Linked DNA regions of Ovis aries. The protein of the gene in region 3 interacts with the protein of the main gene of each other region in a biochemical or structural test. Links are inferred from orthologs where the notes say so. Each region holds a gene or a part of one and is shown on either strand. Other genes may lie near its edges.

Region 1 (4,071 bases), on a different chromosome or scaffold from region 3:
TTCCAATCCTCATGGATGTCTTTGAGCAGCCCCAAAACTTCAGTGAAAAAAGTAACTGCAGATGTGTTGAAAACAGCAAGAGAACTAAAGTGGAGCCTAAAGATGTAACTTTATTGCTGTAACCTCATGATAAGACTTCAATGTGTGAAAAGCTGCTTCTTATGGATAAGCAAAGAAAGTGGCTTCTTCAGATGGCATCCACTCTTGGTGAGGACATGAAGACTGTTGAAATGACAACAAAGGATATAGTCTATTATGTAAATCTAGTTGATAAAGCAGCATCAGAGTTTGAGAGGCTTTACTCCAATTTTGAAAGAAGTTCTACTGTAGGTAAGATGCTATCAAATAGGACTGCATGCTACAGAGACATATTTGAGAAAGGAAGAGTCAACCAATGTGTCAAACTTCACCATTGTCTTATTTTAAAAAAATGCCACAACCACTCCAGCCTTCAGCAATGGGGATAAGACTCTCTACCAACAGAAAGATTACAACTGGTTGAAGGCTCAGATGATAGTTTGCAATTTTTTTTTAGTAATAAAGTATCTTTAAGGTATGTACATTATTTCTTTAGACAAAATGCTACTGCATAGACTTCAATAGAGTGTAAACATAACACTGGGAAATCAAAACACTCATGCGACTTGCTTTACTGCAATATTCCACTTATTGCAGTGGTCTGGAGCCCAATCTGCATTATCTCCCAGGTATGCCTGTACAGCTTATATGAATGAAAAAAATAAAGTTCAAATAATACTTAGTGGAAAAACACTTTGCAAATGATAACATACAGTTTGATAATATTTATTTAAAGTTTAAAAAAATACTAAATAGTAATACATACATACATATGTAATGCACACACAAACCCAAATACTAAAGTATAAAAACATTGGTGGTGGTGGTTTAGTTCCTAAGTTGTGTCCGACTCTTGCGACCCCCATGGACTGTAGCCCACCAGGCTTCTCTGTCCATGGGACTTCCTAAGCAAGAATACTGGAGTGGGTGGCCATTTCCTCCTCCAACAAAAACATTATGCACAGTAAACACCAAATAGGGACAGTGGTTACTGTAGGAAAGAAGAATGGGAGGGTTTAACCGTTACTCTAATTTTTATTTTGTAAAAGACCTGTGGCAAGTCTGGCAAAATGTTATTAACTGCTTAAAGCTGGGAGTTAATACATGAGTATTTATCATCTTAGTCTCTACCAGTCTCTAAATGTTTAACACATTACAATTCACATTTTCTTAAAAAGTGGGAAAATGATTAATTTTACATAAACAGAACTTAACCAGAAGCAAGAATAAAAGTTTGCTCTTCCCAAGAGCAGTCCAAATTTTTAAAGAAAGTCAACCAAAAAAAAAAAAAAAAGAAAGTCAACCACTCATAAAAAGAGGTAGCAGAATGTGTCACCCAGCTTAACAGCATAATTAAACCTTATTATTTATGTGCCTATCATCATTAAGTAAAGTAGCAATTGTGCTCAAACATCTTAATAAAAGATAACAAGATTTCAGAACATAGCAGAAATTCATTCCAGTATGTTCAGAATTTCTTTGTAAGGAAACGTACCATAGTAGGTGATCTGACATTCCAGTCTCACCATCTGAATTAAGATGTCCAGATCCACAGACTTAGAGAAGGAACTTATGGTTACCAGGGGGCGAAGGGTGTGGGGGAGGAATAGAGTGGGAGTCTGGGACTCATACCTACACACTACTGTATTTAGATAATCAACAAGGATCTACTGTATAGCACAGAGCAAGCTGCTTAATATTCTGAAATAACCTAAATGGGAAAAGAATGTGAAAAAGGATACATGTATATGTATAACTGAATCACTTTGCTGTACACCTGAAACTAACACAACAGTTGGGTTCCAATATAATATAAAACTAAAAAATTTTAAAAAATTAAAAAGAAGTCCAGATCCACCCAACACATATCACAGAGGCTGTGAAATTCTCTTTTATTCTATTTTAACCTTATTTGAGTTGTAGATTCATTTAACACTGATTAAAATCAAACAAAAAACCATAAGCCTTAGAAAAAAAAAATCACTCGCTATCTAGCACACAAAGGCCACCGTTAGGCCTCAGTTTTGAACTCTCCCTTTTTCAAGTTGCTTTCACAAATCTCTATCCGAAACAAGGCTGGGTTATGCTGGAAAAGAACGCAGAATACAGGCTTGAGTTGTAGTTGCGTAAAAGTGACCTTCTGGGCTTTCACCAACTTGTCGAGAGATAGTTAAAGGCTTTAGAGACTTTGCTCCCTAATAAGAGGGGCTGGGCAAATGTCTCTCTCACCTACAACGGACCGAAAGTCTCTTTAAGGTGGAGATGGTGGGGGAAAAAGAATCAAGCAGTCCCTCAAAGAGAAGGGACACTGAAAAGAGAAAGGTACCTGCCCCTCGCTTCCGAGCACCCACAGCCACACAGGCGCACAGGAACCCCCTGGAAAACGTCGCTATCGAGAGCTGCCGAATCAGAAACAGCTGTCTGACACCGAAACGACCCCTGCAGACGCCCCGGCTGCACCTCGACCCTCGAAGGGTACGGGTGGGAGCTGGTGGAGAGGGGGAGGGGACGCCTCAGCACCAACAACGGCCTCAACCGCCTCCTCCCAAGTCCGCGCTGCGGCCCACAAAACTTGCGACTTGAAAAATCGCACACTCACTGGAAAGTGGGGCCGGGTCCTGGTCCCGGCCCGGTCCCCGGAATCCGGCGGGTCTCCCAGGGTTTCGGGGGAGGCGGCGGCTGGGACGCCATCTCCGCCTCCTCTCAGCTCCCGCTCGGAACTGGGACTCTCCAGGCCCCGGGACACCGGCCGCTTGAACGCCAGGCACAACTTGCAGAGCGCCGAGCCCTCCACCCGGACCGCCCCCGAAGTCAGGATGTGGCTCGTGGTGCTTTGCTGCTTGGGATTACAGTCTAGGTCTATACCACTAATCCATGGGAAGAAATGCTCTCTTTTTATTTGTCCTAGAAAGAATTTCCATTTTAAACCAAGGATAAGAGTTCATCGATATTTCCGGCAGCGGCTACACTGCCCCAGCCGTCGGAGTCCCACGGAGGCTTCCCTGAGACAAGTCCCGCACCCTCCCGGAGTAATGCTCCACGCACTTCTCCCCCCGCAGGGAGGAGGCAGGGTGTGTTGCGACTGGCCAGGCACCTTGACTGATTTCCTTGCCAACATGCAGGGGAGAGAGAGTTCTCTCAGTCCTCGCGTGAGGGACCTGGTACTTTCGTTCTAAAGCTCTTGTTTCCTCGGGGAACAGAATTGCTAGACTCAATAGGTGCGTTGTCTTTAGTCTTCCCCGTTCTCTCGGAGGGCTGGAAGGGGTTAACTTTCAGGCTCCGGCGTCCTGGGAGAAGGTGAGGCTAGGAGGTCTGAGGTGAGGGGTTGCGGACTGGGTGCCGGAGAGGTGTGGGTGGAGGGGATCGTTGCCTTCCTTCTGGAGAGGCTTTGATAGCAAGGAGGGGTGCGTGAGAAGTTTTGGGGATCTGAGTGAAGGGGAGAAGGGCTTGCTTGGTTGGCCGAAGACTCGAGGTTAGACCTGGGGATGAACTTTCCAGAAATTAGATTCCACTGCAGAGCGTATCGGTAGCGCGATGCAGTTACGAGCACCTCCTTATTTAAAAATCCACACCCCACCCCACAAAACGAATGACCCCCTTCTGTATGGAAATGAGTTTTAAAAGATCCCAGGATGTGAGACTCAGCCTGGGTATTTTCCTGCTCCTTTGCCATAAATAGTTTCTGTAATCGTCGGAGATAGGACGAGAAAATTCATCCTCTCCTCTAGTAAACCAGGGACCGGGCGAGTTACCGCTGGTTTGTGGAGAAGAGACTCTAAGGATCCTGACACCTGGGAAGAGGTTCTGTTCCAATATGTTCCAGTTCTTTGTGTACACACGTAAACTAAAAGCAAATATCTTGAAGGCAGCCAACAATGAAAACCTTACAGCACAGGATGTATTTCTCAAGGCTTGCGTTCAAAGATAATAAATCTAATATACAATAACTGATTTCTCATGTTTTATGAAATCCTTTCATTTCAGCGCTGTACA
Region 2 (3,514 bases), about 40 Mb from region 3:
AAAGACTTTTTACTTTTTATTCCAATTATACTGAGATCTCACTGACGTGCAGTACTGTTTAAGGTATACAGCACAGTGATTTGATGCCCATTCACCATGAAATGATTATCATAGTAAGTTCAGTGAACATCTCATACGGATGCCAGATTAAAGAAACAGAAAAAAAAAGTATGTGTGTGATGAGAACTCTTAGGTTTTCTGCTCTTAACAACTTTCACATACAACATCCAGTATTGTTTTTATATTTATCATGTTGTATATTACATCCCTAGTACTGATTTATCCTGTAACTGGAAATTTAAAATACCTTACTCCAACGCAGTCCTCCTTTACAAAGGCTTACTTTTCAAAGCAATTTTGTGGATTCAGAGACTAAGTGAAGCCTTAAAATTCTTTTAAACATTCAGACAACAGTTTCTCAATTCACGTTTTGAAGATGATTTAAGCTTTTATACAACCATGTAAAAACTTACTTCAAAATTAAGGTCTCGAATCAAGATATCTCCATTTGGCGTTGCTAAAGGAACATGATCAAATCTATAGAGGAAATTAATAAAAAGAGAATAGTTTGACATTAAACACTAAGTAGATGTAGCTGAAAGAGAAAGGCTACTGTGTAGTTTAACAAATCTGTACATACTTTATAATGTTATCTGTATTGATGATTTCTCCAATTCCAGGTATCAAGGGAATATCTTGTGCTCCTTCAACACATTAAATGGAAAAATAAGTATTAAAGCATCAAGTCATGTCAGCAAAAACGTATGTGACTGAGTGCCTTCATATTTACCCTTTTCCTGTTGTGAGACCATAGTGCGTTCATATTTGCCCTGATTTAAATCCTTTAGTACTTGCATTAATTCTGTAATCCGAGCAGTAAAGCTGGAATTAAAAAAAGAAAAAGAAACGAAGAAAGCCATAAGCAAAACTCCAAAGGCTATCATATCTTTTATTTTTTATTATTTACTTGAATATAATTGACATGTAACATCAAGTTCTTTTATTTTATTTTATACAAACCTGACTTAAGTTTCTAAACTTATTATGTAGTTTCAATGAAATCACTTAAAAGAATTCTCACCAACATTAATGATATTATACAAGTATTAGTGATACTATACACATTTTACTATTATGGTTTAGTAGGAGAGCAGGAAGATGGGGCTAAGAAAAGAGGTCTCATAGGATCCCACCGCAACAGATACTGACTTTATTAATAGGCAAGTCAAGAAGGTTGTCTGCCACTAGAACTTTAAGGAATTTTCCAGTAAATACTAAAAAAGGACACACGCTAGTGGCATTTCTTAGGTCGATGAAGCATGAAGCCTGAGTCCCTGCTGGGAGGGCTACACAGCCTTGGATAAAGCTGGCCTTTCTCTCTGAGGACATCATTTATTCTAAGTATGCCATATGCACACTACTTTCCTGCAAACAGGGAAGAATTGGGGAGATCCTTCTCCTTCTTCCTCTGAAGAGGGGGAAAGATGAAGTGTTCTTAATATTAGAGAGAAATCACTGTGGTGATGATAAGAGAGAAATCAAAACTACTGACAAGAAGTTGAAAAGTATGAATGGCATGATGGTCGAGGAGAAAGCATTCTAACCAGAGAAGCAAACAGAATTGTTCTGTGAATAACAAGCAGAAACTTCCTAAAGGAATGGAAGCATTCTCTATGCCAGGAAATGTAAAGGCCTGAGGAAGTTATTAACAAGTTGGAAGAAAGTCAGCATTCTCAAGAAAGACTCCTCACAGGAGTTACAGCCTCTTCTATCTTGTCATAAAGGCCTTAACTGCTAAAGGAGTAGAGAAGAAGGGATATGCAAATTAATCACAGGCCTGGAAAAGAGCCAAAGTCATTCAACTTCTTCAGATAACCTGAAACTTAAGGCTTTTTTTTTACATTATGTGTTGTCTTAAATACCATACCAAGCCCTTTATACTAGACTTTGAAATTTTGAAATATTTAATCCATTTGATGGTCTAAGAATAATTTTACCAGACACCCTGACAGGTTTACAACTGGACTTAGAGCTACCACAAGGTAACTTTTTCTTTTTTTTTCCCATTAAAATAAACTTCATCCTTGCTTATGCATTACCAGTACCAAAGGGCGAAGGGGAAGAAAAGTCTGGTAGAGGACAAAAAAGTCCAAATGAAAAAATTTTATTAACTAACTTAATTTTCTGTAAATTAAGGAAAGACTGCCATGATTCAACATTCCCCATCTTATTGAATACCAGTATTCACAGAGCAGACAGCTGGAGAACAACTAACCTAGCTACCTAAAATAGCTATCTTAAGGAAACATGAAAAGTATACTATCAGAAAAAACTCTTCCTCATTTTCTATCAAAACCAGCTTCCAAGAGTAGGAAATATGAGGATTCAGGGGCTCCTTATCTCAACCTCAATTGGTCACAATCATTAAGGATAACATCTAAAAAAAAAAAAAAAGATTCTCTGCAGTTGCTCAGTATTACAAATCTTAACTTACCCAGCCAATCGAGTCATTTCACGGCCAGCCAAAACTATTCGACCCAGAGCCTGAGACATTCGCAAAAGCATTCTTCCACTCTGGTAGTAATCCTGAAATAGAAAGAAATATTAGTTTTCAGTTGTATTTCGAAGATTAAAACTAGCTTTTTTCACATTTTTTATTTTTAAGAGTTCAATTGAGTCTGACTGCCATTACCACTTTACCTCCAGAAGTTCCGAATGTGAGCTCTTAAGATGCCGAGGATGAGACAAGTCTAAGAAAGGACGACTGACGACTAGGTAACCAACCACAGTGGCAAGGTCTGCAACCAAACAGTTAAGGTTGAAAACCACAACAACACCTCACTTTCCCCACGAATCCCATTCTACCATCTCTTTTAAAGCATACTTACATTTGGCAATTATGCTGTCAATGAAGCCCATAGAGAACCGAAACAAGATGAAATTATGCAGGTGCTCCACCTGACAGAAAGCAAACACAAAATACATACACACTTCCCATGTATTAAGGGAAATTAATCTACCATGAGGACGAAAGAAACTGTATAATTTATGTATTCAACAAATATTTACTGAGTACCTATAATTTCTGATTACAGTATACATCACACTTCATTGAGCACAATGCTGATCACAGAACAGGTGCCAAACAAAGCCTTCATGAATCCATTTTTATGCAAACAGAGTGGAAAACATAAAGACTATGCGTGTGGTATCCCCTGCATGAAATAGTACAATGATACTGTATTCATAATACTGTCGGATACATACAGGCAAAAATTGATAATCAAAACAAAAAACAGAAACAGAAAGATAATTTAGGTGAAACTAGCTGTCTGGAAATAGCATTCAATGCTTTGCTTTAGTTGGAAACACCTGGTCTTTCTCTAAGACTTGTACTACATTCAATTTGAGCCAAGTGCTAATGTAACGCCGCATAGCTTGAGTCTGTAGTTTTAATCTCAGCATGCATTACCCCAAATTTGCAAATCTAAAAATGTATTTTATTCTGCATTTT
Region 3 (3,993 bases):
AGATGACACCCAAGAGAGTCTGTCTTTTGAGGCTCTGCCGGTGAAATCTCTGTGAGTGGGACCCATGTGGTTCCCCATCTTCCCTCTCACCTGAAGGTCAGTGGCATTCTTGGCTAGTCCACTTAACGTCTCCTTTAGGCAAGAGGTGAATTCTTGTTGGGAAGTCGCATCACTGCCTGGGAGAGATGAAAAGAGCCTAGGTCATTTAGGATTTTAACTGCTTGCTTAAGACTGACCTGGTTACCAGCTTGGACATGGAGCATTTACTAGTGAATTGCTACACTCCAAATCTTTGAATACGTTTATCTTCATAGTTATTTTCATAAATCTACATGGACTGTGTCTCAGTTTGTTCTCTACAATGACACCCACATTAACACTGATCTTTAAAATTATCACTTTTCAAAATAAATAAATAAAAATGAAATTATCACTTTTCAATAATCTTTTCTGTTACTTTCCAACCTATCTCACCCCTTTCATTAAACAGGGTCTCCTTTTTCCTTCCATCTCCTCCCCCATCCCATGGCAGTGGTATCATAATTACTGTCAACTTTTACAAAAAATTTTGGTGTTGTCAAGGGACAATAACCCAAGAGGTTTGTTCAGATATTTCGCACTGTTTCTCTTCCTTACCTACTCTCCCAGCAGCCTCTGAAAGCTTTTGGAACTGCTCTACCAGGTGGGGCTCTTCCTCAGCCAACTCTTTCATTGCTTTCTCAAACTCTGCAGTGGCTTGGGAAGCCAGCTCACTGTCAAACAGTTCCTGGAAAAACTTCTCCTGGGAGGCGAAGAGGGCATCCTGCAGGGGAGAATGTGGCCAAAGCGCATCTCTTACTTGGCACCCCAGTGTACATGGTTTCTGACAGAAGCCACAGGCAGTGGCGCTGGGAGGTGCAGTGCTTCCCTCCTACCCACCTCCATTGGGCATTCTGACTACTTCCCTTCATGAGAACAGCAAAAAGGCCATCTGGCCACTAAGGGAAGGCTATGGGCTGGTATTCCCAATCCAACCATTTAAATCTGTTCTTTTCTTAAGGAACTTCCTTGAGATCCCTGTACTCAATCTCAAGTCCCTGTTTCACAAGGACTGAGGCCTGCAAGAGCACTCACCAATGTGAGGCCAAGGCACCCTCCCCGACTCCCCTCTGGCCCACAAAGGCCTGCCCCACCTCTGCTTGGAGCTGCACGCCCACACCCTCCCCATCCCTTAAGTGGGTGGAATTTATACTTTGGCAGTGTCTCCTGGCGATCTCTTCTGGGGCCCTGAAGCATCAGGGGCCGTGGTGGTAGGAGGGGGTGCTGGGGAGGGTTTGGCCTTATCGAAATCATCAAGAGCACCTTCAGAGACAAGAGACACAGTGTATGTGTTGGTGATGGATGAGAATGCAAGGCTAGAGGGGTTTCTGAGCAAAGCATTAAGAAAACAATCTTTCAAGCTGCCAACCTTCCTAAAATGCTCTCCTTTTTTTTGAGTCTCCCTCTCCTGACCCACTCCTCAATAAGCTTCTCCCTCCCCCTCCCCATTACCTAACATACTGTAATCACAGGGGAAGAAGTCTCTTAAGGTGTAAAAAAACATCTCTCAAAGCTGTAAGAGGACAGTTCATCTACACAATGCCTCTTTGCCATACTTTAATGGTTCCTAGAAATCCCATACAGATATTCAAGAGAAACAGAGAACACAGATGTCCTTAACCCCCCTAGAACTCACTCTGGAGCCCTACAAGGAATAATCTTTGGCAAGAGAGCAGAAGCCTTAAGATGTTTCACCCAGCTTCCCATGGGTCCTGGTACAAACTGAGGGACTCCATATTATACTCCACGGGAGGGCCCTGAACTCTCTTTTCTCTTTCAATTTAGGTCTCCCTCCCCAGAGTTGCTAGAGCTCCCTGTGGTCTCATCTCTGCAGACTCACACAGTCACTTAGCACTTCTCACCATTTCTGTTCACCTTTCCGCCTGCCCACTCTGTGACTGAGCAAGAGACAATAAATATTCACCTCGACCCTGAAAAGCCTGTGTTCTCACCACCACTATATTTGCCAGGCCTAGGGGGAAAGACACCAGCCCCACTCTGGACAAGAAACCAAACCAGACAGGAGTGGATGGCAGGGCTGAGGAGGAAAAGTACAGCCACCTTCTTTCCAGAGTGAACTGTCTTCCCCTGAGGCTGTCTCATCCTGTTTTTCAAACTAATGGGAAGGGTTTGAGCTCTGACATGATGAAAGAACTGGAAAGGGGCCTGGTGGATGAAAGGACTGGGAGAAAAAAAGGAGTGTCTTTTCTGTTAAGGAGGGCAGGACAGTTAACAGAAGAACGCACTACAGGCTTCCTAATAGTTAATGGAAGCAATTCGTGGTTGTTCGGTTCGCTGCCCCCTGAGGACCAAATGCTGCTGCTGGTGGGGAGAAAGTCAGACTTCAGAACTTACTAAAGTAAGGGGAGTTTGGAGAGGGAGCGTGAAACGTCCTCTGGGTTAGCTTCCCCTCCGGCAGGGCGATCAACAGTGTGGGCCGTTCAGGGACCCAGAGAGAACTCCTCAACTACCGCTGCAGAGGAAGGAGAGGGTGACCCAGAGATTTTCTCGAGGGTCGCAGTCAGACTCTCCGCCCCCGTCCAGCCTTTGGAGAGCCTTTCTTACTCCGCCCCAAACATCGCAGGTTTACTTAACCCCCTGAATGGATCCTTACATCCGCCCTCTTTGGGGCTTTCCCATGACGGGCTCTTACTTTCCAGAAGCTCTTCCAATTCCCGGTCGGCTTCGGCCCGGACACCACCGTCCCCCTCAGCCGCGGCCATCTTGCCACCTCTGACTTGCCGTAGGAGGTGGGACTCCGAGGCTCCGCGCCCCGCCCCTGTGCCCGCCCCCTCTGCTCGCGCAACCAATGGTATTGTTGGTCCGTGCCGGGCCGCCATTTTTAAAGGGACAGGATGCTCCGATTCCCGCCCCCGCCACCCCTCTTCTTTCTACTGGCACGCTGACCTAACAGAGGTGAGTTTGCTCTTACCTTCTGCCAGGTTTTTTTTTGTTTTTGTTTTTACTGGCCTGGCTTCCTTTCTTTCAACTTCCCACATTACCTGGCTTTCTTATTATTTTTTTCCAGAGCTGTGGGTATGCCAAATTGGCACAAACTGCCCACGAGCCACCAGAAGCTCTGCGTTTGTAATCAATAAGGAAGTTACGGTATACCCAACATGGTAGTTTTCTCTCACTTCAGTATTTTACTCATATGTCATCTTCTCTGAAATGCCTTCTTTGGCCTCACTAAATAAAACTGCAACCCTTCCCACACACATACATATACAAATCCTGCCCACTTTCCCTCCATTTCTCTCAAAACTTACCTCTATGTGACATACTATACGTTTTACTTATTTATCGTTTTTATCTCCCGTTAAGCCCTTTGCAGTTTAAGCACGATGATGGCAAGGATTTTCATCCGTCATCTTCACTGCTGCATCCCTAGCTCCTGGGCTGGGGATTAAAATTTGGGCATTCATTGTCTACTCTTTGCTCTCTCAGATCCTAAAGAGGCATGTTTCTCTGCAGAATCTACTGGCTATCTCACATTTCCTGTACCCCATTAAAACTATCACAGGGCCAAGAACTTAGAACTCGATATTAGTCTAATCAAATCGGGTAGAAAAGCGACTCTTGGACTTTGGATTAAGCAAAAAGGTACTGTAGAGTTCCTTCCCTGAACAGAAAAACATCTACTTGTGCTTTATTGACTACGCCAAAGCCTTTGACTCTGGTTCACAACAAACTGTGGAAAATTCTTCAAGAGATGGGAATACCAGACCACCTGACCTGTCTCCTGAGAAATCTGTATGCAGGTCAAGAAGCAACAGTTAGAACAGGACATGGAACAACAGAGTGGTTCCCAATAGGGAAGGGAATCCACCAAGACTGTATATTGTCATCCTGCTTATTTAACTTATATGCAAAATACATCATGAGAAACACTGGGCTGGATGAAACAGGAGCTGG
Region 4 (3,092 bases), on a different chromosome or scaffold from region 3:
TTCTTGCCTCCCTCCACTCGGCCTCTTGAAGCAGAGCTCCTATGTTATCTCCAACCTGCTTCCAGAGTAAGTCTAAGCTCTTTAAGCAAGGCCTTGGCCCCTCCCTTCCCCCTGCGCTTGGCATGTGGCACAAGCGTCTCCCACTCCTACAAGGTCTGGAAGCCATGTCCTGCTTCCCTTGGGCTGGCTGGCTCAGGACTCTTGTTCCTCTGTGTCCCCCACCAGTCCGCTGCTTGGTATCTCTCTCGAAGCTTCTCATGCATGGACCAGGCCTCAGCCCCTTCCTCTTCCCTGGCACAGGGTCCAGGGTCCTCTTTGGTCTTAAACATCATTTTCGGGAGATATTACAGATGCCTCCTTGCCACAGCTGGGTCCAGAGGACGTGCAGGCCAGCATCTTTGGCTGCAGGTGGGCCACCAAGGTTGCCCCTCACTCAGGCCCACAGCTGCCCCTCCTGCCTCTCCCCCAACCAAGCCCCCATGTGGACAGAGAGGCTGCGAGGCAAGAGTGCACTTTCCACGGCAGGTCTTTACTGAGGAACTCAGGGAGGCTCCCTGACCCCAGGGCTGAGGGCCCAAAAGGCACACGGCGGCATGGCGGCGGTGGGGGTCTCCCTCTCAGGTCGAGGCTGCCTTTGTGGACACAGCTTCCCTGCTGACCCCTCTTTGGCACTAGACTGGGCACCACGGTGCCCTCATGCCTGGTGGCCCCAGGGTCCGTCGCCCCTGGGGCCAGCCCTCCCCCACCCACACTCTGGTGATCGGCAGTGTAGGCTGGTGGGGTGGTGGGCGGGCCAGGGGCTGGCTGACCAGGTGCTCCCGCTGGCAATGGAGATGTCTACAAACAGGAATCCAATAAATTAGCTTGGAGAAGCGGGGAGGGACGGGGCTACATTCTTATTATGGCTCGGTAGGAAAAGCTGTGCAATTCTTTTCCTTGTGGATTCTACAGAATGACGGGTGGCGGGGGGGGGGGCCACGAATGAGGGGCTGTGTCTCATTCTGAGGGTCTCACTTGGCTGTTTTTACAGCAAAAAGGGCATCCCAGGGGATGGGAGCCTTGCTGGGTCCCTGGGATGATGGCAATAGAGGCATGGACCATGATGTCTCCAAGGGACTGCAAAGCCAAGAGTGATGAGCTACAGCCTTGGGAGGTGCTGCCTGGCAAACCCCAGGGCTCCAAGGCCCAGGCTGCTGCTGGCAGCAGGGTGCGCCTCTGGCTGCTCTCCCTTCCCCTTGCTCAGGTCCCCAGGAAGGGGGCACAGGTTTTGTGGGTGGTCCCCTGGGAGGCCTGGGAGGCTGGTGAAGCATGCAGCGGGGGGTGGGGGGACATGGGGCTGGGTTGCGCAGGCGCTCTGTCTCCTTCACGTGATCCGAGGGTTGGGGTGGGGGTGGAGGGGGGCCAAGGGCCAAGTAAGAGAGAGCCAGGGCCCTCGGTCAAGTGGCAGCGCCCTGGTTGGCCCCGGGGCCCTGGCCCAGGATCTGGCAGAGCTCCTGGAGGCGCCGCTGCATCTTGGGGATGCCCGCCAGCTGCTGCTCGAGCCGCTGCTTCTCCTCAGTCAGGCTCAGGCGGGCAGCCGAGTCCAGTTTCTCGAACTTCCAGCCACCTTCCCCGTCGAACTGCAGCAAGTGGGTGTGGTACTTCCTGCGTCAGGAGAGGGACCCAGAGGAGGCACTCAGCGGGTGGCCAGGACCCTTGGCCAGAGTCCTGTGGGAAGGGAGGGCACACCTACCACAGGGAGGGTCGGTGGGTGATGGAAAGCAGCGCGATGCCTGCGTCCTTGGCCGCCTGGAAGATCTTGCCTTCCACGTCGATGCTCACGGCGCTGGTACACTCATCCAGGAGAGCGTACTTGGGCCTTGGGGGTGTGGCCATGTGGGTGAGGCTGTGGGCCTCTGGGGCCAATGCCCCAGGCTGGTCCCAGCCCCTCAGGTGGAGGCGGGGAGCCTGACCCCCAGTCCTGCCAGGCCCCCAGGGCTGGGGCCAGGCCTCCGAGCAGTTCTGCTCTCCCCGCTTTAGGAGGTCCCAGGGAAAGAGGTTCGGGGAACTCCCGGTGCCCGAGGGAGCCCAAGCACCCGGGACTGGGAGGCTGGCAGCTCACCTGTGGTAGAACATGCGGGCCATGCCAACTCTCTGCTTCTCGCCTCCCGACAGGACGTCTTTCCAGTCGCACACGGCCTCCCAACCTGGCACAGGACAAGGGTTGACGTTCAGTTCAAGAGGGCTGGGCAGCATCTGCAGAAGGACCCGGGCATGGTGGGTGTGGTAGGAAGGCTTGGGGTTGCTCAAAGGAATACAGACACAAGTGAGAGCAGAATATGGCAGGGAAAGGTCGGCCACTGGGGACGTCTGCGGACACTGTATTAGTCCAAAAGGACTCGGTCCAGATTTACACACATTTCCTCCAATAGACACCGGGCAGTCCTCACCTGCAGGCCCTGAGGATGCCACCCACCGCATGTGGACACTGGGTCTTCTTAGGAGTGGTTGAGTTAAAGGGAGGTCACGAGGGTGGTCCTAATCCAATGGGACTGTGTCCTTATAAAAGGGGACACTTGGAGATGCAAACACACATGAAGGAAAGATGACGTGAAGACACAGGGCACAGACGGCCTCTCCTATCCCAGGAGAGAGGCCTGGAAGACACCCTCCCTCACGGCCAGCAGGAGGAACCGACCTTGCCCACGCCTGGATCATGGACATCCAGCCTCCACGACTGGGAGACAATACGTTTCTGTTGTTTGTCCCACCCAGTCTCTGGTGCCAGCAAAATCACACAGGACCTAACGGGGCTAATGAAGTGCCAGTGGGCAGCAGTCAAGGCAGAGCCCCAAGAATGGCTCTGGTGGTCTCTCTGGAAACCTTCTCACCCACTGGGATGAGGCCTGTGTGTCCCAGTGTGAAGCATGTCAGCAAGGCTCAGGAGAACTCCTTGGATGAGGAGGGAAGTGGGTGATTCATGAGAAACACCTCCTGGCTTGCTCCCTCCACTCTCTTTCCAGAGAACTAGAACTTTCGGTAGGGCATGTGGCCACCCACCAAAAAAAAAACAAAACAAAACACTTCAATGCCCAAGTTGCCCCGATGGGAGG
Region 5 (4,280 bases), on a different chromosome or scaffold from region 3:
GGGAATATCCCCTGGAGGAGGGCATGGCAACCCACTCCAGTATTCTTGCTTGGAGAATCCCAAGGACAGAGGTGCCTGGCCGGCTGCAGTCCATAGAGTCACATGGAGTTGGACCCAACTGAAGCTACTAAGCACTCATTTTTAGCTCATAAGCTACATAAAAATTGGTGGGACAAATGTGGCCCACTGGTTGGGTTGTAATTTGCCTACTTCCATTCTCATTTAATGGACATCTTCCCAGGATTCCAGTTGACTAGAAATGTTTGTGTGTGTTGTGTGGGGGGCAGGGAGGTCATGAGGGGTGGAGAAGCAAAAATGTTTTTGCATTTTTGAGAATAACTCATCTTTGCCTAAAAAAACATGTCTGTTACATTTTTAAAAATATGCACAATTTTGCTTGTTTACAGTTTAGTCCTCCATTAGAGATGCTGAGAATATTTTTGAACACTTGATTTTTATCAAATAATCAAAATGGAGATGGGAAGTAGATTACCTCTAAACCTAAACAAAACAAACAAAACATAAGCTTACAAAAGACAAGGAACTCTTGCAAAATGAAGTAAAATGGTAGAGAAGCTATTTCTATCATCTAATTACCCTTTGACTCCCAAATGGTTAACTTTTGAATATGAAGGCACATACCTCCAAGTACCAACTCTCTAAAGGACACAGGGGTGGTAGAAGTGAAACACTGCTCTCATTTATTTAATAGTCACTTTGTAAATAATCACCAGTGTATCAGATCTCCATTGTTAAGAAGAGCAGTTATGGCGCTTGAAGATTTTTATTATAAGGACAAGTAAACTTTGGAATGAAGTCACAGCAAAGAATTATTTTCTATTATACTGAAGACTTATCTCCCATTTATTTACAAAACAATAGCCTCATACAACTTGTTTGATAGGTTCTGGGATTTCATGTGAAATCACAGACACTAAAAGGAAAAAAAAAATGGGCGAGGAGAGAGCGCTGAAAAACAGATCCGAATATTTGATACTTTGTTTTTTTCCAGTGCCCCTCCCATATGCTACTTTCTTCTCCCTTTCAGATTCATTCCATACCCTTTATCTGTTGATCCTCTCCTCCGTCATCTCCCCGGTTGCTTCTCCGTCGTTGGAAATCTCCCTTTTTAGCCCTTGGAAATCTCCCTTTCTTTTTGCTCTTCCTTTGTGGTATCTACTAAAACGTTAAAGTGATGTATTTTCTGAAACTTCTGTGGGTTTCTAAGTGACGCTGAGCATGCTCAGTCGCCTAGGCAGGTTTTGTCGCCAGCAGCTGCCCTGATTCGACCTCTCCAAAAATAGACATTTAACTCTCTGAACTGTTTAAGGATATAATTCGTTTTGCTCTCTCTTCATTTTCAAGGTTCAAAGGAAAGCAGCGAGGATTCCAAGGGTCCCTTCGTCCTTACAGCCAATGAGGGGGCTGAGAGGGAGGAGCTTGGGGCTGCTGCGTGCAGCTTGAGCTTCTGAGGGAATCATCCCCAGTAGACGCGGTGGAGCCTGAGCTCTGAAGCATCTGTCACAGAACAAAATTTTTAAAAATAAAAACAATAACAGAAGAGGAGAAACGCTGCAAACTATGGAACGCTGTAAAACTTTCTGAAACATTTGCTGGGAATTCCTGTGGAGCATGATATTTTAAAACCAATTCTTTTTGAAGCCGGTTTGGGTAACTGGGAAAATGATACATATGCTAAATGCAGCAGCTGATCGAGTGAAATGGACCAGATCAAGGGCTGCTAAAAGGGCTGCCTGTGTGGTAGCTGCAGCATATGCTCTGAAAACCCTCTATCCCATCATTGGCAAGCATTTAAAGCAGTCTGGCCACAGGGAGAAAAAAGGCGCTTACTCGGCTGCGGAGAACAGAGAAATACTGCATTGCACCGAGGCCACTTGTAAAAAACCTTCACCTGGAGTGAATGCAGATTTTTTCAAACAGCTACTGGAACTTCGGAAAATTCTCTTTCCAAAACTTGTGACCACTGAAACAGGATGGCTCTGCCTCCACTCGGTAGCTCTAATTTCAAGAACCTTCCTGTCTATTTATGTAGCAGGTTTGGATGGAAAAATTGTGAAAAGCATTGTGGAAAAGAAGCCTCGGACTTTCATCATCAAGTTAATCAAGTGGCTTATGATTGCCATCCCTGCCACCTTTGTCAACAGTGCAATAAGGTACTTGGAGGGCAAATTGGCCTTGGCCTTCAGAACTCGTCTAGTAGACCATGCCTATGAGACCTATTTTGCAAATCAGACTTATTATAAGGTGATCAATATGGATGGGAGGCTGGCAAACCCTGACCAGTCTCTTACTGAGGATATTATGATGTTTGCTCAGTCGGTGGCTCACTTGTACTCCAATTTGACCAAACCTATTTTAGATGTAATCCTGACCTCCTATACACTTATCCAGACTGCTACATCCAGAGGAGCAAGCCCAATTGGGCCCACTGTTTTAGCAGGGCTTGTGGTATATGCCACTGCTAAAGTGTTAAAAGCCTGCTCTCCCAAATTTGGTAAATTGGTGGCTGAAGAAGCTCATAGAAAAGGCTATCTGCGGTACGTGCACTCCAGAATCATAGCCAATGTTGAAGAAATTGCCTTTTACAGAGGACATAAGGTAAGAAAGAAATTAAGATGATGGGTGAAATGTGAGATTGTTCAAACTGCCACTGCAGTGCTGGATACCATCTGTTGTATTGTTTTTGTGCTCAATTCTTTAGCATTTTGGATTCTTATGACATTTAAACCTGTATTAAAATATATGCTTTGCTACCCTTTTTAATCATAAACTGTTAAAGAATTATATGCTAAGTGAAAACTTTTCTAAAGTTTCATGAGAATGAACATGAAACATTTTCACCACTCTAAAAAACTCTACTTATCCAAACATGCTCAGAATTATCTCCAAAGGATTTTCTTAAAACTAAAATCCTAACTAAGTAGATGGTCCTAGAACACTGAAGAAAAATATATGTTTAGAAGCTAAGTAAACATGCTTCCACTGAGATGGAAAATTTAGGATGATATTGTTTATTTTTCAAGAGAAAAAAGTGCTTTCATATAAGAAGACAAGTGTAACAATTTTGCATGACTGGTCAATGATGGAGTTCCTTAGTTCTAAGAAGTATAGGAGAGTGACTTACAAATGGCATTTTCATTGCTTATCATATTTTGAGACAAATAAAAAAAGATAAGGAAATGAACTTTTGCCTAGTTTTGAGGGAAAAGTAAAGATTAGAGATGAAGAAGGAAAAAGGAGTTCCAGAATATTTTTATATATTAAAGATTTTCAACATTTAGCAGGTCCGTAGAACAGTTAACCTAATTACATAAACTTGCAGTGCATTTAAGAATATTAAATATGACAGGAATCTTTAAATCTTAATACAAATGACCTGGCAAATTAAACAGTAAATTATTCTAAAGTTAAAATGGCATTATGATTATGAAGCAGAATTAATTTTCAAAACCATCAATTATTTAAAAAAATTATATGGTAGTACTATTCTGAAGAAGAAAATTTAAAGCAGATTTAGGACTTATATTCCCACTTGAAAATTGGCCTCATACATTGTATAAATCATATTTATTTTGAATCGTTGAACTCAGTGATATAAATTATAACATGCTGTAGGCTTCTTGCATTTAGACATAACATAGTAAACTGAGTGCTCAAAAATGAAGTTAATTACACATATACATGTCATGTGTTTATTTTCACTCATTTTTGGTGTGATCAAGGGCAAGGTTCTAGCTGTTTATTCATATTTTATGGATTATCATTTACTGTTAACATCTTATATAGATAAGGTTGAAACCATAAGTATAAATCACTTGTCTATATTTATATTTAACATTATGTATACTAAATATCAGATATTTTAAAAATAATTTAGATGTGATTACAAGTGAAATAATGGCTAATTCTGACATAATATGTATTTATTGGTTGTTAGAATCAGACATAAGAGTATACTAAGAAAGAGAAAATATGAAATTATCTTTAAAGGAAGTCCTCAAACATACATTATTTATTTTTATAATTCATACTAGGTTAATTCTTATCTCTTTTTCTCTCCATAGGTAGAAATGAACCAACTCCAGAAAAGTTACAAAGCTTTAGCAAATCAGATGAACCTCATTTTATCCAAACGTTTATGGTACATCATGATAGAGCAGTTCTTGATGAAGTATGTTTGGAGCAGCAGTGGACTAATTATGGTGGCTGTACCTATTATCACGGCAACTGGCTTTGCAGATGGTGGTAATGACATTTAC

What was found.
Region 1: the proteins of PEX19 (region 3) and PEX13 form a complex in vitro, tested with the Homo sapiens proteins (2 studies listed by BioGRID and IntAct, with this or other methods). The link is inferred for Ovis aries from reciprocal best matches to the Homo sapiens genes PEX19 and PEX13.
Region 2: the proteins of PEX19 (region 3) and ABCD3 form a complex in vitro, tested with the Homo sapiens proteins (4 studies listed by BioGRID and IntAct, with this or other methods). The link is inferred for Ovis aries from reciprocal best matches to the Homo sapiens genes PEX19 and ABCD3.
Region 4: the proteins of PEX19 (region 3) and ABCD1 form a complex in vitro, tested with the Homo sapiens proteins (3 studies listed by BioGRID and IntAct, with this or other methods). The link is inferred for Ovis aries from reciprocal best matches to the Homo sapiens genes PEX19 and ABCD1.
Region 5: the proteins of PEX19 (region 3) and ABCD2 form a complex in vitro, tested with the Homo sapiens proteins (3 studies listed by BioGRID and IntAct, with this or other methods). The link is inferred for Ovis aries from reciprocal best matches to the Homo sapiens genes PEX19 and ABCD2.

Annotation. Positions count from the first base shown.
Region 1 is NC_056056.1:62,997,582-63,001,652, forward strand, and holds the start of PEX13 (peroxisome biogenesis factor 13), read right to left. Parts: upstream 2,801-4,071; 5' UTR 2,770-2,800; coding exon 2,678-2,769; intron 1-2,677. UniProt on the Homo sapiens protein: Component of the PEX13-PEX14 docking complex, a translocon channel that specifically mediates the import of peroxisomal cargo proteins bound to PEX5 receptor.
Region 2 is NC_056054.1:71,595,155-71,598,668, reverse strand, and holds part of ABCD3 (ATP-binding cassette sub-family D member 3), read right to left. Parts: intron 2,959-3,514; coding exon 2,889-2,958; intron 2,799-2,888; coding exon 2,701-2,798; intron 2,587-2,700; coding exon 2,495-2,586; intron 883-2,494; coding exon 791-882; intron 705-790; coding exon 641-704; intron 538-640; coding exon 474-537; intron 1-473. UniProt on the Homo sapiens protein: Broad substrate specificity ATP-dependent transporter of the ATP-binding cassette (ABC) family that catalyzes the transport of long-chain fatty acids (LCFA)-CoA, dicarboxylic acids-CoA, long-branched-chain fatty acids-CoA and bile acids from the cytosol to the peroxisome lumen for beta-oxydation.
Region 3 is NC_056054.1:111,303,958-111,307,950, forward strand, and holds the start of PEX19 (peroxisomal biogenesis factor 19), read right to left. Parts: upstream 2,814-3,993; 5' UTR 2,802-2,813; coding exon 2,732-2,801; intron 1,342-2,731; coding exon 1,232-1,341; intron 803-1,231; coding exon 637-802; intron 177-636; coding exon 91-176; intron 1-90. UniProt on the Homo sapiens protein: Necessary for early peroxisomal biogenesis. Acts both as a cytosolic chaperone and as an import receptor for peroxisomal membrane proteins (PMPs).
Region 4 is NC_056080.1:80,529,321-80,532,412, forward strand, and holds the end of ABCD1 (ATP-binding cassette sub-family D member 1), read right to left. Parts: intron 2,236-3,092; coding exon of another isoform or gene 2,216-2,235; exon of another isoform or gene 2,187-2,215; coding exon 2,102-2,186; intron 1,859-2,101; coding exon 1,733-1,858; intron 1,645-1,732; coding exon 1,437-1,644; 3' UTR 509-1,436; downstream 1-508. UniProt on the Homo sapiens protein: ATP-dependent transporter of the ATP-binding cassette (ABC) family involved in the transport of very long chain fatty acid (VLCFA)-CoA from the cytosol to the peroxisome lumen.
Region 5 is NC_056056.1:147,840,841-147,845,120, forward strand, and holds the start of ABCD2 (ATP-binding cassette sub-family D member 2), read left to right. Parts: upstream 1-1,470; 5' UTR 1,471-1,683; coding exon 1,684-2,619; intron 2,620-4,085; coding exon 4,086-4,266; intron 4,267-4,280.